Callithrix jacchus: one gene and its partners. The protein of the gene in region 4 binds, or shares a complex with, the protein of the main gene of each other region. Links are inferred from orthologs where the notes say so. Each region holds a gene or a part of one and is shown on either strand. Other genes may lie near its edges.

Region 1 (4,296 bases), on a different chromosome or scaffold from region 4:
CTTGCTACTCAGTTATCTTGGTCCTCCAATCCTCTCATTTTAGAATTGTGCAGGCCTCTCGGGCACAGCAGTCTCATGGCCAGAGGCAGAACCAGGGCTGGAGTAGATTCTTTTCCAAGCTGCTGTCCTTTCCAAGAGACCTCATGAAAAAAACAGTAAAATACAAAATAGCTCTTAAAGGGGGTTGCACAGACCCTGTCATTCTTTTTCAACTCCGATAGTTTTAACTTTCAGCTTATTTGCCAAAATCAAGGATGGAAAAGTCAAGTTATGGCCAGGTGCGGTGGCTCATGCCTGTAATCCCAGCACTTTGGGAGGCCAAGGCGGGTGGATCACGGGGTTAAGAGATCAAGACCGTGTAATCCGAGCACTTTGGGAGGCCGAGATGGGTGGATCACAAGATCAAGAGATCGAGACCATCCTGGCCAACATGGTGAAACCCCATCTCTACTAAAAATACAAAAATTAGCTGGTCGTGGTGGTGCGCGCCTATAATCCCAACTACTCAGGAGGCTGAGGCAGGAGAATTGCTTGAACCCAGGAGGCGGAGGTTGCAGTGAGCCAAGATTGCGCCACTGCACTCCAGCTTGGCACCTGGCAACAGAGCATGACTCCGTCTCAAAAAAAAAGAAAAAAAAGGAAAAGTCCAGTTATGAACATGTTCCTCTGGGCTGAATTGAATCTCGAAGACACTAAATTCAATTTCAGAGCATACATAATCAATCCTGGGCTATTGCTGCAGCAGACTTAGACAAAGAGAGATGCAAAAGAGAATGTTTATTATAGTTTGTACATTATAAATGTACCTAAGAAATTATTTTCTTTATACCATTATTGCCATGATTTCCTGTGGACAGTTTAACGCAGCTGTAAAGTCCATGCTGTGCAGGTCTGACCCCTATGGATCTGCCATATTTAGACCCAGCTTTTCTGCTATGGGCCAACGTCAGAAGCTGCTGATCTTTTGCAGCAGGGTCTGACGCCGCCCTTCGGGGCTGATGTTCTCAGCAATGGACTTCAGGAAGTGCTGCTCGTTCACCTTCTGGAGCAAGGAGCTGACAGAAGGGTTGGCCTTGCTCAGAGTCTCATAGCAAGTGAGAGTTTCCAAGGCTAAAATATACAGTGGCTCACAGACCTCCTGGCGGAGCATGGCCATGATGTGCAGAGCATGACAGAACACCTGGGTGTAGACAAACAGAGCTTCCTGGGTCAGGTCCTGCTCTTGTCCCTGCGCCCAAGGGCCAACTGACTGTATCAACCTGACTGAGTCCAGGAGGCTGGTCAGACTGCCACACAGGAGTCTGACCACATGGTTCCAGCCTTCCAGAGGAAGCCAATTTTGACAACTCTGGCTACAGAGAAACTGGAAAGCCCTCAGGAAGAGTACAGAGAGCTGGAGCTCCTGGGCGAAGGGCTTCAGGTTGAGCAGAGGAACAAACTGAATATACTCCAGGCTATATGGGACATGGAGCAGCTGTTTCTCCAGCAGCCTCCTGGTCAACTGCTGAAGGTGTTGCCACTCCTGAGGGCTGCACCAAGGCATGACTTGCACCAGGGCCACCAGAAATCCTTTGCTGAACAACCTGACCTCCTCAGGACTACCCACGTTGACCACCAACAGAGACAGCATCCTCTCTGAGAGGGTGCTGGAGATGCAGGAGCACTCCATCCAGGCCAGGAGCCCTGTGCCTGGCCCATACCCTTGGTGGGCCTGGGAGGTCCACTCATCCTCAGAAAGCTTACAGATCTCAAAAAGTGTGGCTGGCACCTCACACTTGAAGTGTCCTTCAAAAAAGGTCTTCAGTCTGAGGCCCACAGTCCAGTCAAGCTCTTCTGACTTGCGGTGGAGCCAGGACACGGACTTGATCCAGGCGTCTGGGGAGAAGGTCTCGGCATTGGCTAATAAAATCTCACACAGGAGCTCCAGGATATGGGCCGCCAGATCCTTCCTCTCCAAAGACAAACGCCGCTTCTCCTTAGGGAGCTGCCAGTACTTGCTGAAGCTGTCCAGGAGCTGGCACAAGCTGAAGAGGAGTGGGAATGGGGAGCAGGCCTGGAGCCAGTATTCCTCCAGGCATGCATTTGCTTCTAGAGTCTGGAGGAAGATCTTCAGACTGAGGTCCACCTCTTCAATATCTAACATCAAGAATGACAGGACAAATTCCTTCAGCACCTCATCTGGCTCAAGCAGAGCAGCCACTGGAATCCCCTGGGGCTTCACAGGATTCATCAGGCAGTTCAGGAGCTCCAAAAATTGCTTTTCCTCCTTGGGTGTAGAGAACTTTGCCCAGACAGTTTCTCTGAGGCACGACACCATGAAAGTGGTAGATGAATTTGGACCCTGCTCTTCTATGAACCGAAGAGCGGGGAAGGCTGTGAGAATCTGGGCCAGGAACTTGTGGGTGCCAAGATTGACCACAGCCAGGCTGCAGATTTTCTTCACTGTGGCTTCCGGGTGCACTATCATCAGGCGGGCCACGGAGGCCACAGCTTTTGCCAAGCCCTGCTCGGAGGCACTCTGAGCGAGCTTGTTTAAGGTTGTATTGAGGTCTTCCGGAAAACTCTCCACATAGGTCAGCAACGTTTCAGATAGGCCCCTTTTCCCCCAGGAATGCAGGATGCCTGCAAGGACTTTGTTTTTGTCTGGCAGGGAGAGGTCTGTGTAACATTCCAGGACCAAGTGGAGCACTTGCTGGATCTGAGGCTCGGGGACTGCTCTGTCAGTGGTGCTGGCACCTAGCACTGTTTCCAGCAGCCTCAACACCAAATCTGGCTCCCTGAAGAGAGCCCTGTTACTCACCAGGCAGGCTACCCACTCGTCTGAGAAAGCCCACTTCTTCTCAGAAGCAAAAATGTAGCACATTTCCATGTGACGGTTCATCTTCTGCTGGATGATGGCCATGGCAATGGAAGCCGTGATGTCCTGGGAGCCCCTGTTCTTCAGTACCCTGCTGGTTTTCCTCAGGAAGTCCCTGACACACACTGCCAGCTCAGAGGCCACCTGCCTCTCCTCCTCGGGCAGGCTGGCGCGGTTCAAGTAGAGCGCCAGGTTCTGGCTGAAGGAAGTCAGACTGTCGCACAGCCGGTAGCTGTCATAGCTTGTGCCCTGGCTGCTGCAGAGCATGGCTTGCAGCTCCTCCCCCCACTCCCCCAGCAGGGCGTGCATCAATTCCAAGCCGGCAAAAATCGTCTCACTGGGGAGTTTGGCCAGTGAGGTCAGGCTGACATCCCGTTCTGCCTCCTTGACCTTCTCTGCCAGTGCCTGGTGGTGGTACAGGTTCTGGGTGTCTGAGTTCCACACAGAGATCACTGTGGCCAGTTTGTCCAGATACACAGTTGCAGACACCTCCTGGGGGTCGTCCTCGGTCAGTGCAAACACGCTCAGCATGTCGGCCAGGTTGGCCAGTGCACAGCACTTTCTCCCTGGGCCCAGGATCCGACCCTGGATCTGCATCAGCCCACGAAGCAGCATGGCCAACAGAAGCATGGTGGGGCACACGTCTGGCTCTGACCTCAGCCTCTTGGGAGGATGGGGGAACTCTTCTAAGACAGGCAAGTACTTATGGACCATTGCGCTGAACTGGGAGAGCAGGGGATCCTGTGGATTACCCCGGTGCTTCATCATTTCCCACCAGACATCCAGGAAGAAGGCCACGTCCTCAGAGGACGTGTCAATGCTCACGTGCTCCAAAAAGCGCTCGAGTTCTGCACAGCAGACAATGGCAGGCAGGGCCATCAGGAGCTCGATAAAGAGTCCAGAAGCTTCTAGGGACTTGAGCAGCTCAAACAGGACGGTGTGATTGAGGGTGGGGATCATATTGCCCACTGAGAAGAACACATCTTCCTGCCACCGAGTGTCCGTGTCAGAAGAGGTCACAGGCTGAGGCTGCAGAACCTTGGCCCAGATGATGATCAGAGCTTTCTTCTTCCAGGCAAAGGGCTGGGAATGCGCTGCTGCGGAGGAGATCTCCTGCAAGGCCTCCACAATGGGCCGCCCAACGTGCTCCCAGTCAGACTTGGTCAGTTCTGTCAGAGCTCTGGGGTGGAACAGCTGCTCAGCCAACAGGAAGCCTCCGTGCAGAATAGTCATTTCCTCACAGATGTTCAAGGGTCCTGCACAGAGAAGCCAAGTAAGACAGTATAATGCGAACGTCTCAAGACAGTCACTGCAGTTAGGAGGCTGTCAGGGTTAGAGATGATGAGGGTTTTAGACATCCACGAAGGGGAGAAGAAGGGATGGCCACCAGAGCCACTGCAGGGCTGGAGGCAGGACTGAGCTGAGGAATCCAGAATGAC
Region 2 (4,566 bases), on a different chromosome or scaffold from region 4:
CTTTTTCTGGAGTGTCTTAGCTATTCTTGGCCTTTTTATTTTCTATGTAACTATTAACATCTGCATGAAAAGTTTTATTTAAAAACAATTGGAGGATGAAATCCAAGAAATCAGAAGAGCTCCTGGGATGATGGCAGATGGGAGGCAGGACTAGACTGCAGCTCCAGACAGAGCAGGATACAGAGGTTTGCACTGTGAATTTTAGCTCCAGATTGATTGTAAGAATAAACTAGCAATCCCAAGAGGAACTACAGACCCTCTGAAGGAAGTGGACTGCTCCTTTAGGACCCTGGAGACCCCCAAACACTGTGAGAGCCCCAACTGTGGAAGTGGGAAAAAGAGATCCTCCTCTCCCGACTACACACTCACACTGGAGAAGCTGAAGGTCTGTTTATGGGAGAAGTTTCTGACTTTACCTGGAGCTGAGTCAAGTTAGAGAGCCGAGTGAAATACGGGGTAGAGGAAGCAGCGGAAAGGCCTTGGGAGCTCACTGGGTCCCCAAGCGGCCCATTCCTGCCTGGGACCACAGGGATCCATTGGAAGAGTGGCCAGGGGAGCAGATGGCAAAACTCCACAGGAAGAAGGAATCTGTAGCTGAACTTTGTAACAATGTGAACTGGGCAAGAAGCCTGGCCAGAACTTGGGGGACTGTGCGAATCTGGCTTGCACACTACACAGGCAGGGGAAGAACTAAAGCCCTTTTCTTTTGCAGCTGGGAGGTAGATAGCATCAGGCAAATTTTCAAGCCTGTCTCACCCTCCACCTGGAAACAGACTCCGGGCTGTTGCAGGGTCACAGTGGGAATGAGACCAGCCCTTTGCTTTGCATGGGATCTGAATGAGGCCTGTGACTGGGGGCTTTCTCCTACTTCCCTGACAACCTGCATGATTCAGCAGAGGCAGCCATAATTCTCCTGTATACACAATCCCAGTAGCCTGGGAATCTCACGCCCATTCCCCACAGCACCCGCAACAAGGCTGCCCAAATAGAGTCTGAGCTCAGACACACCTAGCCCTGCCCCTACCTGGTGGTCCTTCCCTATTCACCCTAGTCAACCAAGGAAAAAGTAACTTGAATTTGAACCGCGTTTAAAAGCACATAGTATCGACGCCTACAACACTAGCAACACAAAATTGACACAGCAGGAGATGGCTGGGGAATTTGTTTTTTAAGATAGGGTCTCGCCCTGTTGCTGAGGCCGGAGTGCAGTGGCCGACCGCTCGGGCTCCAGTAATCCTCTCACCCCAGCCTCCCAGGTAGGTGGGACCACAGGTGGCACCACGTCAAGCCCGTATGCAGTCTTTACATAAGACAAATTGCAAAAAATGTTGCTAGACAGTGTTCGCTAGTTTGGGCCGTCGGTGGGAACGGCTCCAGTGTCCGTCTAGATGATCAGATGCCGGGGACAGTCCTCAGCGGGGCTGCTCGGCGGGCACAGAGCAGCCGCTGGCCCATGGGCTTATGGGAGTGGGAACGGCTTTTAACTCGGCCGCGAGCGGGGAAGGCGTTCTGACCCGCTAGAGCTCGGGGCGAGGGACCCTACCCGCTGCCTAGAGCGCCTCTAGGCGCCTGCCGTAGCCGGCGCGGGCCGGTGCTAGCGGTCCGATAAGAACTCAACCGGCTCCTGCACCTCCCTGTACTTCTCGCTGCTTCTTCCAGTCACTTCTACCCCGCGAGTCGGCCCGCCCGCCAATCGTCACTTCCGGCGGGTGCTGCGCATTATTTACGTCGTCACTTCCTGTCGATGCCGGTGTGGACGCTGTGAATCGTGGCTGGGTCGGTTCTCCGCTTCTCCCCGTCCCCTACTTTCCTCCCTCCCTCCCTTTCCCTCCCTCGTCGACGGTCGCTCGCCCGTCGCAGACTCCCGGACCCCACCCTCACCCCTTCCTAACCTCCGTGCCACCGGATTGCCCTCCTTTTCCTGTCTCCCAGCCCAGCCCCAGTGTCAGGGCGGGGGCCTGGAGGAGCCGGAGGCGCTGCAGCAGACGAGAGAAAAAGACAACGACGACCCTCGGCTCTCCAGTCCGGTAGCCGCACTCGCCGCCGCCATGGCAATGAGACAGACGCCGCTCACCTGCTCTGGCCACACGCGGCCCGTAGTTGATTTGGCCTTCAGTGGCATCACGCCTTATGGGTATTTCTTAATCAGCGCTTGCAAAGGTGAGCAAGGCCTCTGATCCTTGTCCCCGATCGCTGGGACTGGGCTGAAAGGGATTGGGACCCGCACGCTCCAGTGCCGAAGCGCGGGGTTGGCGGGGGCGGGGAGGGAACGCTATTAACCTCCGAAGTGAGGGCCAGCACTGGAAGTCCGGTGGAGAAAGCAATGTGTTCGAGAATCCGCAACTGGAGCCGAGAGACCTCTGGACGCTTTTGTAGAGACTGTTACCTCCAACTAAGACCCCTCTCGTTGTTTTCTTTTTATTGCTATTTTTGGAGGAGCTGGACAGCACTTGCCTGCACTCTCGGGACAACGTTGTAAATAGCTTTCAAGGATTTGGGGAAAGGAGAAATTAGGCCAGGCCGTGAAATACTTAACAAAGACGTTCGCTCTTGTCTCACTGGATATTCCTTTGTGGCATTAGCCTTATTTTTCAGATGGGAAACTGAGATTTAGGCTAAGGTGTTTGTCCAAATTAAGAGTCAAATCTAGATTGTTTTGACGCAGATCAGCATTCCCACCGAATTACAGATGCTTTTCAGAGAGAATGGTCTGTTCGGCTCTCAGTTAATTTATTTCTGGACGTTCCTTGGTGACTTCAATGGGCGGTTAAATAGTTGAAACGATTTTTCCACTTTGTCATTGAACATCATTGTATATTTACATTTGCATCTTAGACTTTAATCTGAACTTTAAATCACATGTCTTAAAAAATATTTTCTAGATGGTAAACCTATGCTACGCCAGGGAGATACAGGAGACTGGATTGGAACGTTTTTGGGTCATAAAGGTGCTGTTTGGGGTGCAACACTGAATAAGGATGCCAGCAAAGCAGCTACAGCAGCTGCGGATTTCACAGCGTAAGTGTAGCCAAGATGGCTAACGTCGGTGTTCTCTGTAGATTGTGTCCAGAAATAATGAAAAAGTTCAACCTCAGATATTCATAGAATTCTGAATCACTGGCTGCTATGTAGAATGCCAGATGTTTGAGCTCACCAAAATTCCACTGTGGTCCTGTGTGCTTGTTTTCAGTGGTTCTCAAAATTTTCAGAGGCTTAAATGACTTATTCCTTATGTTTTGATTAAGACTCAGGAGCCTGCATGAACAAACACTCCAGATGATGAATATTGATCTCCTTTACGAATGCTGCTCTGTGTGTACTCCTTAGTGAAATCCTACATGGGTGGCCTTAGGTTTTTATCTCAATCCCAGTTTTTGTTAGCTTGCTTTAGGCATCACTAACACTCATTGTGTCAAACAAACAAAAACAAAAAAACTCAACTTCTCTTCATTTCCTAAGTTTTTGAAGGTTGAAATGTAAAACATTCTTGATTTTCCCTTACATCTAGATTATCATCATCTTTTTTTGATTCTGCCACTGGGATGTCTCCTGATTACAGTGTTCCTCCATGTAGTATCTGCTGCTGCCTTAGTTCACAATCATTTTTAACTTTCTTCCAGTAGTTTCTTTTCCTCCTCTTCATATTCCATATTGTTGTCAGTTGTTTTCCTAAAAACATGTTTGATCATGTCACTTCTCTGCCTAATGATTTTCCTGTCTTCCCTTTGCCATTTTAGTATTTTGTGACCTTTGATATACATTAGAATACCAGGAGAGCTTTTCAAATATTCAAATGTATGTGTCCCAGAAACTCGGATTTAAAATTTTTTTTGGGTTTTTACTCTCTCTCTATATATATACTTTTTGCTACATGTAAAAATACTTTTTAATGCTTTTTACTGTATAGACACTAGCTGTGTTTCCCAGGCTGTCTTAAAACTCTTGGCCTCCATGCCTCAGCCTCTCAAAGAACTGGGGTTACGGGGTGAACTGCCATGCCTGGCACAGACCTTCTGGTTTGATTGGTCTGAGGATGGAGTACTGATCATACTGATCAGTGGTGGTTTTTTTTCTTGCCTTTCTTTCCTGTGTGCAGCCTTAGAAGCACGGACCTGAAGGACACTTCAGTTGTTGACACTTTACAGTTCGCTTCATCCTAGTTCTTCAGCATCATCTTCTGGCCCTGCACACCATAAACCCTACAATCTAATTATACTACACTTACTGTTGCCAGAATATACCTTACCTGTGCTGACTTTTGACTGTTAATGATGTTACTAAACTGACTGGCAGTGGCCCTCTTTGCCTTTTTGGGAATGTATAATGTTTTATAAATCTTGTTATTTCCAGTTCCTACCTGGTATTTGTAACTTAGGAATTTGACACTTGATTGTTTAAACTGATGAAGGCAATATCAAGAGCTGTTGTACATACACAGATTTATTAGACTTAAGAGGCTGGAGAGTACAAGTATTATTGGTTATTTATTATTTATTATTTATTTATTTCATTTATTATTTTTGAAACAGAGTCTTGCTCTGTGCCCAGGCTGGAGTGCAGTGGCGC
Region 3 (4,426 bases), on a different chromosome or scaffold from region 4:
AGCAAAATTCCGTTGCAAAAAAAAAAAAAAAAGAAAGAAAGAAAATATTTCTTACAGATGTAAAAAAGTAGACATTTCACTTTTCTATTTATTTATATCCCAGTTAAAAACATTAGGGAAAGAGCCTTAGTCAATTTAATAAGAGAAATCTGGAAAGGCTTATACTTGGAGTTTCTTTTTTTTTGAGACAGAGTTTCACTCTTGTTACCCAGGCTGGAGTGCAATGGCACGATCTCGGCTCACCGCACCCTCCACCTCCTGGGTTCAGGCAATTCTCCTGCCTCAGCCTCCTGAGTAGCTGGGATTACAGGCACGCACCACCATGCCCAGCTAATTTTTTATATTTTTAGTAGAGGCGGGGTTTCACCATGTTGACCAGGATGGTCTCAATCTCTTGACCTCGTGATCCACCCGCCTCGGCCTCCCAAAGTGCTGGGATTACATGCTTGAGCCACCGCGCCCGGCCCTATACTTGGAGTTTCTATGAAATCTAAATGACGTTAGCCCAGAGGATATGATCTAGTCCTACCTGCCTTTCTAGAATATCAAACAGAAACAAAAAGAGAGACATACCGTTTCAATCAATCCATCCATCTATCAAATTAGGTATATAAGACATTCTGTTCCATTAAATGTCTATCAACTAATGAGCCGAGACCGTGCCACTGTACTTCAGCCTGGGTGACAGAGCAAGACTCTGTCTCAAAAAAATAAATCAATCAACTAAAAAATCCTGAAGAGGAATTACAGGAAACATTATAGTGTCTGAATTAAAATTTTCTGATTATAAATATCAGATAGAGAAATTACTTTCAACATGAAAAGGAAATTACTATCAACAATTTAAAATGCCACCTCCTTTAAGCTTAGGTTAAATAGCACCTCCTTAGAGAGACCTTCGCTGGCCAGGCGTGGTGGCTCACGCCTGTAATCCCAACACGTTAGGAGGCTGAAGCAGGCAGATCACTTGAGGTCAGGAGTTCAAGACCAGCCTGGCCAACATGGTAAAACCCCATCTCCACTAAAAATACAAAAATTAGCTAGGTGTGGTAGCACACACCTGTAATCCCAGCTACTCAGGAGGCTGAGGCAGGAGACTCTCTTGAACCCGGGAGGTGGAGGTTGCAGTGAGCCAAGATCACACCACTGCATTCCAGCCTGGGCGAAAAAGCAAGACTCAAAAAAAAAGGGGGGGGGGAGGGAAGAAAGACCTTCTGTGATTCCTCTATCTACAGTAGTTCTGTCATTTATTGATTATTACATATGCTTATTTTCTTCATAGCAATAGTCACAACATGTAATTATTTGTTTGCCTGTTTACTCTCTGTCTACAAGGGTAGGATCCTTTTTTATCTTATCCTCTGTTACATTCCCAGTGCCTGGCACAACGTAGTCCCTTAATTAAAAATGTGCTGGATAAATAAATAAACGAAAATGTCCACAGTGTGCAAGTAGCTGTAAAAGTGTAAGATATCTGAGTTTCTATTTTGACAAAAAGTGGAACTTTATCAAATTCAGAACACACAAAGCACAATAGGATTAAACACCAATCTAGTAACTGGAAAAAGATTCCTTAGGAAAAAAAAAAAAGGAGGGCCCAGTGCGGTGGCTCACGCCTGTAATCCCAGCACTTTGTGAGGCCGAGGTGGGCAGATCACCTGAGTTCAGGAGTTCCAGCCTAGCCAACATGGTGAAACTCCATCTCTACTAAAAATACAAAAATTAGCCAGGCGTAGTGGCAGGCACCTGTAATCCCAGTTACTTGGGAAGCTGAGGCAAGAGGATAGCTTGAACCTGGGAGGAGGAGTTTGCAGTAAGCCGAGATCCTGCTGCTGCACTCCAGCCTGGGTGACAGAGCAAGACTCTGTCTCAAAAAATAAATAAATAAAGGGGTCAGGCACAGTGGCTGAAGCCTGTAATCCTAACACTTTGGGAGGCAGAAGCGGGAAGACAGCCTGAGGCCAGGAGTTCCAGACCAGCTGGCAACAGAGACTCCCTCTCTATAAACAAACAAGAAAAAATAGAAGATAGCCTAAGTAACCCATTTAAAGACTCCTTTGAAAGGATTGGATAGTGTCCCTGAAGAAAGATGGGCAAGCTCCACAAATGCTAGAGTTACAGAAAACCTCTTCAGAGGCTGTAAATGCCAGTTGCCTTTCTGGAGGAAAAAGTACAAGCGAATGTCTATCTTTGAAGGGAGTAGTCAAATCTTACTTACACCATAATTGATACTGTCGGATACTATAGGAAGAGCCTTAGTCTTTTAATTGAGGGGTTGGGGGTAATCTCCAGACGGTTAATAACTCACAGAAATATTCACACTTTGCTTCCTTTTCAACTTCTTTGGGTCAATTTGAGCTACCACAACATCTGGACACTGAGCTGCTTCGATCCTACAAATAAGTAATAAATGCAAGAAATTAAATTTCTATTGTGCTTTGCTCAGGTGTAGTAAAACGAGCGATCCATTTCCATAGTTGATTGTGAAATTAAAAAAAAAAATTCAGACTTCCACTTGACGTACTAAAGAATATATTTCTGAAATTATCTGGATTGAAAACAAATCTAAGATCACACATCTTGGTACATTCAATCATGTTAAACAGAAACTCGCCCACGTAAGAATGTAATCCAGAATCCTGAACAGACCCGAACTCGCAAGAGACTGGAACGGGAAGAAACAGGACTTTATAGAACGCAGGTCGAGAGGGGCACCAGGGGCTGTACCCCGGGGCAGGGCAGACGACCAGCCCACCCGCCCAGGGCCAAATCACTCACTGGACCCGCCTCAGGTATTCCTGAGGCGTCCTCGGGGGTACCGAGGGATCGAAAGCTTCCGTCAAGTCGCAGGGCTCTACCGGTAATAGCCGAGGCATCAACTCTTCCACAGCGGACTCGGCTGGTACCCACGCCATGGTTTTCAAACCAGCCAGCTCCACTCAGCGCATGCGCCCACTCTAGGTCACGGCGCAGGCGCACAAGTAGGAACCTTGGGCGCGGAGCTGAGCAATGGCAGTTTAGGGAGCGTTAACTGCGCATGAACAGACTGCTGCTTGCCTCAAGGTTAAGGCTCCGGTGGTGTAATAAAGGATCTGAGAATTTAATTCCTAGCTGAATTGGTTCGAACGCGTTTCTGGTCTTTTACTCCCTGTTTTGTCTTCTCACGCTGGGCAAAGGCCGAGGGTTAGCAACTTTTATGCATCCTTAGTAGTGAAGGATCCTTAAAAATGGTTTTTGAATTAATGAACAGTATTACTGTAATTATCATTCTTGGAGCTCTAAATTCTTAACCCCGACATAAACACACACATTTTCTCACTTGATTCTTAAAACAATCTTGTAAAGTGGGGAGTAATACTCTGTTAGGGGAGGGACTGAGCTTCTCCCAAAGGGGAAGACACCAATTCCAACATACGCTTATCCGATGCCAAATGAAAGAAAAATTAATTTTCTACAGGAATATCTAGTGCTTGACCACTTCAAAGATCACTGTATGTTTATTTGGAATGAGTATTACTCCTAGAATAGCCAGCACTTTTTATTTTTTTTGAAGAAAAATATCTTCGTTTAAATACAAATAGTGAAAAATATGAAGCTAATGCTAACATACAGAAATTAACAAAAATGTTAGGTCAATCTTGTTAGGTAGATAGTATCATCTCCATTTCACAGGTGAGGAAACAGGGCAAGAATGTGCAAGAAACAAGTATTATATCTGATTATTTCTAAACAAATACAATTGAGTGAATACAATTGACTTTTCTAAAATTTATATTTCTTTTCGAAGGTTTTTAAAAAAATTTGTTTATATTTTAGCACTGTTTTTAGGTTGCAAGGAATCGATTTCAAACAAGGATGTAAGTTTAAGTTGAAGATAAAAAAATTAAACAGGATAGTCCTTAGCTTTTTTTAAAAATTATATATATATATATTTTATTGCACTTTAGGTTCTGGGGTACACGTGCAGAACATGCAGGATTGTTGCACAGGTACATACAAGGCAATGTGGTTTGCTGCCTCCATCCCCCATCACCTATATCTGGCATTTCTCCCATGTTATCCCTCCCAACTCCTTCCCCTCCCCTGTCCCTCCCTTATTCCCCCCCAACAGACCCCAGTGTGTGATGCACCCCTCCCTGTGTCTATGTGTTCTCATTGTTCAACATCAGCCTATGAGTGAGAACATGCGGTGTTTGATTTTCTATTCTTGTGTCAGTTTGCTGAGAACGATGGTTTCCACATTCATCCATGTCCCTACAAAGGACAGGAACTCATCTTTTTTATGGCTGCATAGTATTCCATGGTGCATATGTGCCACATTTTCCTTGTCCAGTCTATCACTGATGGGCATTTGGATTGGTTCCAGGTCTTTGCTATTGGAAACAGAGCCAAAATGAACATACATGTGCATGTGTCTTTATAGTAG
Region 4 (4,313 bases):
ATAAAGATCGGTTGAAATCGTGTGAAAGCTATTTTATTTCATTTTATCGAGACAGGATCTCTCTCGCGCTCAGGCTGGTGTGCGGTGGCAATGACCTAGTCTCTTTGCAGCCTCGACCTCCCGTGCTCAAGCCACCCTTCCACCTCAGCCTCCCAGTTAGCTGAGACTACAGGTGCACGTCACCACACCTGACTAATTTTTGTATTTTTTGTAGAGACTAGGTTTCGCCAAATTGCCCAGGCTGATCTCGAATTCCTAGGTTCAAATGATCCACCCTCCTCTGCCTCCCAAAGTGCTGGGATTACAGGTGTGAGCCACCAAGCCTAGCCTAAAATCTCTTTTAAACAGCAAATAGTTCAAATATCATGTATGCTGTTCTAATCTCTACTAATCTGGTTGACCTCCAGGAAATGAGTTTATATTCATCGGGCATTTACTGCCATATGTCCGGCAGGTATTTCACCAAATCTCATTTATTCCTCACAGCAATCCAACAAGGCATGGATTATCATTTTCCTTCTTCAAATGAGGAAACATATTTAGGATAGAAGTCTCCCAGCTAACAACTGGCAAACCAGTGATCAATCTGCAGCTAGGGTGTCTCCAAACTCGTGCCCCTAGGTGAAGCCAAATATATGTATTTGACCTCTCTGTATTAATGACGAGTAGTTCAGATTTCGGTTTGCTACATACGCAGGAGTGCCAGATACCCAATGCAAATAAGCAACACACAAGTAGTGCAGAATCTGAGCATTTTAGCATTTTTTAGTTGGAAGGAAACTTTCCTTCACACCATTTACCACATACAGGTTCCTTCACAGAGCTCTCAATCAAGCAAATCGAGTCACTCCATTTGCTTCTCTTTCATCTTTGAATGCCCAGAACCCAGAGCCAGAATTTCCACCCAGTTGCAGAAACTGTTCTTTCCCTTTTTAATTCCAGATTTGTACTTTCATAGTTTTGTTTATTTTTTGAGACAGGGTTTCACTCTGTTGCCTAGGCTCGAGTGTAGTGGCACAATCACAGCTCACTCCAGCCTGTCCTCTGGGCTCCATATTTTTGTTAAGTGGCTCCTTGTGCATACCTTTAAAACACCTCCACACTAGCGAAGTGCCCTGGCACAGAGCGTTCAAAAAACAATGAACGCGTAGTGGTTGAAAAAGTCCAAAGAGTAAACTGGTAGCGTGGGGCAGTGGTTCCACTAGTCTAATCCTCTAATTTTGTGCCTTCCTGTGGAAAGTGAAATGTTTAATTTCGTGGCTGTGCTCAGGCAACATCCGACCCTAGCCAGGGTTGGGGCGGACCTCCTCCGGCGGGCTAGGTACGGAGGGCGGGTCAGTGCAGCGCACGCGGTCAGGCCCCTCCCAGCCCGGCAGCAGCGAGCACGGAACGCGCAGTGCTAACTGGGCCTCGGCGCGCACCGTAGCGACTGCCCGAGAAGGCGGGGCTCGGAGTTTACCCCGCCCCCCCCCGCCTCCTGGCTAAAGCGTGAGGCTGCGAGCGGTCTCTCTCTTGGCTGCTTCTCTTGCCTGCTTCTCTTGGCTCCGACGACCTGTAATTATGGGGCAGGAGCCGCGGACGCTGCCGCCCTCTCCCAACTGGTACTGCGCCCGCTGCAGCGATGCCGTGCCCGGGGGCCTCTTTGGCTTCGCCGCGCGGACCTCCGTCTTCCTTGTCCGCGTGGGCCCGGACGCAGGCGAGAGTCCTGGGACACCTCCGTTTCGAGGTAACTCACCATCCTTGGTCCCGAGCCCTCCTGCCCTTTCTACGCTCCCCAGGGGCGCCGAGTGGAGGTCTCCAGCCACCCTATTTTCTACAGTTAGGGAAACTGAGGTCCAGACTGGGCGAAGAGTCAGCCCACAATCCCTAAACTGAGTTGCTTCTGATCCCCAGAATGAGCTACAGCATGCTGTGGCCGAGCGGTCCCGCCTCCTGGAGCTTCCACGTGGGACCGCTTGCTGACTGAAAAGTTAGCCCTGTACAGTCCCGGCCATTTACAGGGTTCCCCCACCCAGCCCGGTGCACGCCAGCCCCTCGGGAGCCTTCCTGAGGTTGGGGGCTGACTACAGCTGCAGGCCCTATGCATGATCCTTCGACATGTGACATTCATTACTGTGAGATGAATGAGTTGAGCCAGATGTTTTCAGGCTCCAAACTAGGCTTTGATTGTGCCTTGGGATATGACGTGTCAGGTAATTTATTCTGGCCAGATCTCAATAAGTGTCGCTATCACATTATTTGAGCTGCTTTCCAGCCTCTGAACTAAGCACAGCAAGGTATATCAACATTCATTTCACAGTTGAGAAGCTGAGGCTCAAAAAGACTTGTTCGAAGTCACGTGGCACAGCCAATAATGTCAGCACTTGGGAGTTCTGATTGTGAGTCCGTCGGTATTTCGGTTATACCATGGGTTAAGTAACTCCAAAGTATCTGCTCACTCATCATCCAACAGCAGTATGCTTCTGCCAGGAATCTTGGATAGCACTTCGATTAATCTAATGTCTGGTTTTACTTGAAGTCATAGGAGAGTTGGTGGGACACACCGAGAGGGTCTCTGGCTTCACATTTTCTCATCACCCTGGTCAGTACAACCTGTGTGCCACCAGCTCCGACGATGGGACTGTTAAAATATGGGACGTAGAGACAAAAACAGTTGTGACAGAACATGCACTCCATCAGGTACCATGGCTTACTGGTTTCTCAGACCGTTTTTGTATGTCTGTGCTGAGGGTTCTTGGGTTTCAAGCTAGTTTTCCTAGCTCATTTGTGCAAGGTAACTTATAATTGTGTTCATTAATTAGATAAGACTATATTGTAAGCTGTCTCAACTTTTTTTGAAAGGAGATACATACAAACCAGAGGTTGGCAAACTTCTCTGTGCCTATTTTTGCAAATAGGTTTTATTAGAGTAGAACCACACTAATTCATTTAAGTATTGTCTATGACTGCTTTAATGCTGTAAGAATTGAGTAGTTGCAACAGGCATGGTATGACCCAAAACGTCTAAAACAGTTACCCTCTGCCAGGCACGATGGCTCACGCCTGTAATCCCAGCACTTTGGGAGGCCTAAGCAGGTGGATCACAAGGTCACAAGTTCAAGACCATCCTGACCAAGATGGTGAAACCCCATCTCTACTAAAGATAGAAAAATTAGCCAGGTGCTGTGGCAAACACCTGTAATCCCAGCTACTCTGGAAACTGAGTCAGGAGAATTGCTTGAACCTGGGCGGCAGAGGTTGCAGTGAGCTGAGATCACACTGCTACACTCCAGCCTGGGTGAGACTCTGTCTCAAAAAACAACAACAACAACAATTACCCTCTGGTTATTGATATAAATAGACTTCTGATAGAGACTGTAAATGAGTGAATTAAACTCATTTCTAAACTAGATAGTTACTTGATATACCTGCCTTTTGAGAGAACAAGGGAAAAGAAAAACTCACTTAATCTTTGTAAGAACTCTGCATTAAGCTATTTAAAAAATGTTATGATTATTTGATCCCCTGTAGTCTAAATCTTCCCACCATTTTGTTAATATCATGTGGCTCTACAAGTACTACTAAGTATTAACTGCTTTTAATGTATGTACATAGCATTACGCTGGGTTGTGATACAAGTTAAAAATTAAGTAAAATGTTAGCATTGACTAACAAATTTTTGTTTTGTTTTAAAGCATACGATATCAACATTACATTGGTCTCCTCGAGTAAAGGACTTAATAGTATCTGGGGATGAAAAAGGGGTAGTTTTCTGTTACTGGCTTAACAGAAATGACAGCCAGCACCTCTTTATAGAACCCAGGACAATTTTCTGTCTTACTTGTTCACCTCATCATGAAGATTTAGTAGCCATTGGGTAAGTACTGTGCCATCTGTACTGAAGATTTTTGTTTGTGTATGATCATGTTTTGCATTTTCTTTACCTTCTCCTGTCCTTTTATTCCTCAAAGAAAACCATCTACAGTTGTTAACCAGTCACCCTGACCCCTTAGCATCATTTATTCCTCCAGGTCCTTACTGACTCTGCCAGTCCGTTTTTGTTTCCTTGGTTTTCCATGGTACTGTACTTTCTTGGTTCTTCATGTCCAACTCCTGTAGTCAACCTTTAAATGTAGGAAGCGTCCTCTTTCACCTTTTTCACTTTCTGTGCTGCCTTTTGATATAACATGAACTCCCAGGTGTCAGATGACTTTGCTCAGTTTGTCTGGTTCTGAGCACTCCGTCTAGATTGGGAAAGCAGTGTGACATTGGGATCCATTTCCCCATTGATCAACAAGGTTGTTTCACAATGATCTACCAGGATGGACATCCCC

The links.
Region 1: GEMIN5 (region 4) and GEMIN4 share a complex: the UniProt entries of both Homo sapiens proteins name them as parts of the SMN-Sm complex. The link is inferred for Callithrix jacchus from reciprocal best matches to the Homo sapiens genes GEMIN5 and GEMIN4.
Region 2: GEMIN5 (region 4) and STRAP share a complex: the UniProt entries of both Homo sapiens proteins name them as parts of the SMN-Sm complex. The link is inferred for Callithrix jacchus from reciprocal best matches to the Homo sapiens genes GEMIN5 and STRAP.
Region 3: GEMIN5 (region 4) and GEMIN2 share a complex: the UniProt entries of both Homo sapiens proteins name them as parts of the SMN-Sm complex. The link is inferred for Callithrix jacchus from reciprocal best matches to the Homo sapiens genes GEMIN5 and GEMIN2.

What each region holds. Positions count from the first base shown.
Region 1 is NC_133506.1:63,634,425-63,638,720, reverse strand, and holds the end of GEMIN4 (gem-associated protein 4), read right to left. Parts: exon of another isoform or gene 4,114-4,296; coding exon 947-4,113; 3' UTR 763-946; downstream 1-762. UniProt on the Homo sapiens protein: The SMN complex catalyzes the assembly of small nuclear ribonucleoproteins (snRNPs), the building blocks of the spliceosome, and thereby plays an important role in the splicing of cellular pre-mRNAs.
Region 2 is NC_133510.1:7,425,184-7,429,749, reverse strand, and holds the start of STRAP (serine-threonine kinase receptor-associated protein), read left to right. Parts: upstream 1-1,727; 5' UTR 1,728-2,048; coding exon 2,049-2,160; intron 2,161-2,882; coding exon 2,883-3,018; intron 3,019-4,566. UniProt on the Homo sapiens protein: The SMN complex catalyzes the assembly of small nuclear ribonucleoproteins (snRNPs), the building blocks of the spliceosome, and thereby plays an important role in the splicing of cellular pre-mRNAs.
Region 3 is NC_133509.1:73,778,688-73,783,113, reverse strand, and holds the start of GEMIN2 (gem-associated protein 2), read right to left. Parts: upstream 2,932-4,426; 5' UTR 2,916-2,931; coding exon 2,779-2,915; intron 2,394-2,778; coding exon 2,309-2,393; intron 1-2,308. UniProt on the Homo sapiens protein: The SMN complex catalyzes the assembly of small nuclear ribonucleoproteins (snRNPs), the building blocks of the spliceosome, and thereby plays an important role in the splicing of cellular pre-mRNAs.
Region 4 is NC_133503.1:54,148,302-54,152,614, reverse strand, and holds the start of GEMIN5 (gem-associated protein 5), read left to right. Parts: upstream 1-1,450; 5' UTR 1,451-1,560; coding exon 1,561-1,726; intron 1,727-2,518; coding exon 2,519-2,679; intron 2,680-3,674; coding exon 3,675-3,856; intron 3,857-4,313. UniProt on the Homo sapiens protein: The SMN complex catalyzes the assembly of small nuclear ribonucleoproteins (snRNPs), the building blocks of the spliceosome, and thereby plays an important role in the splicing of cellular pre-mRNAs.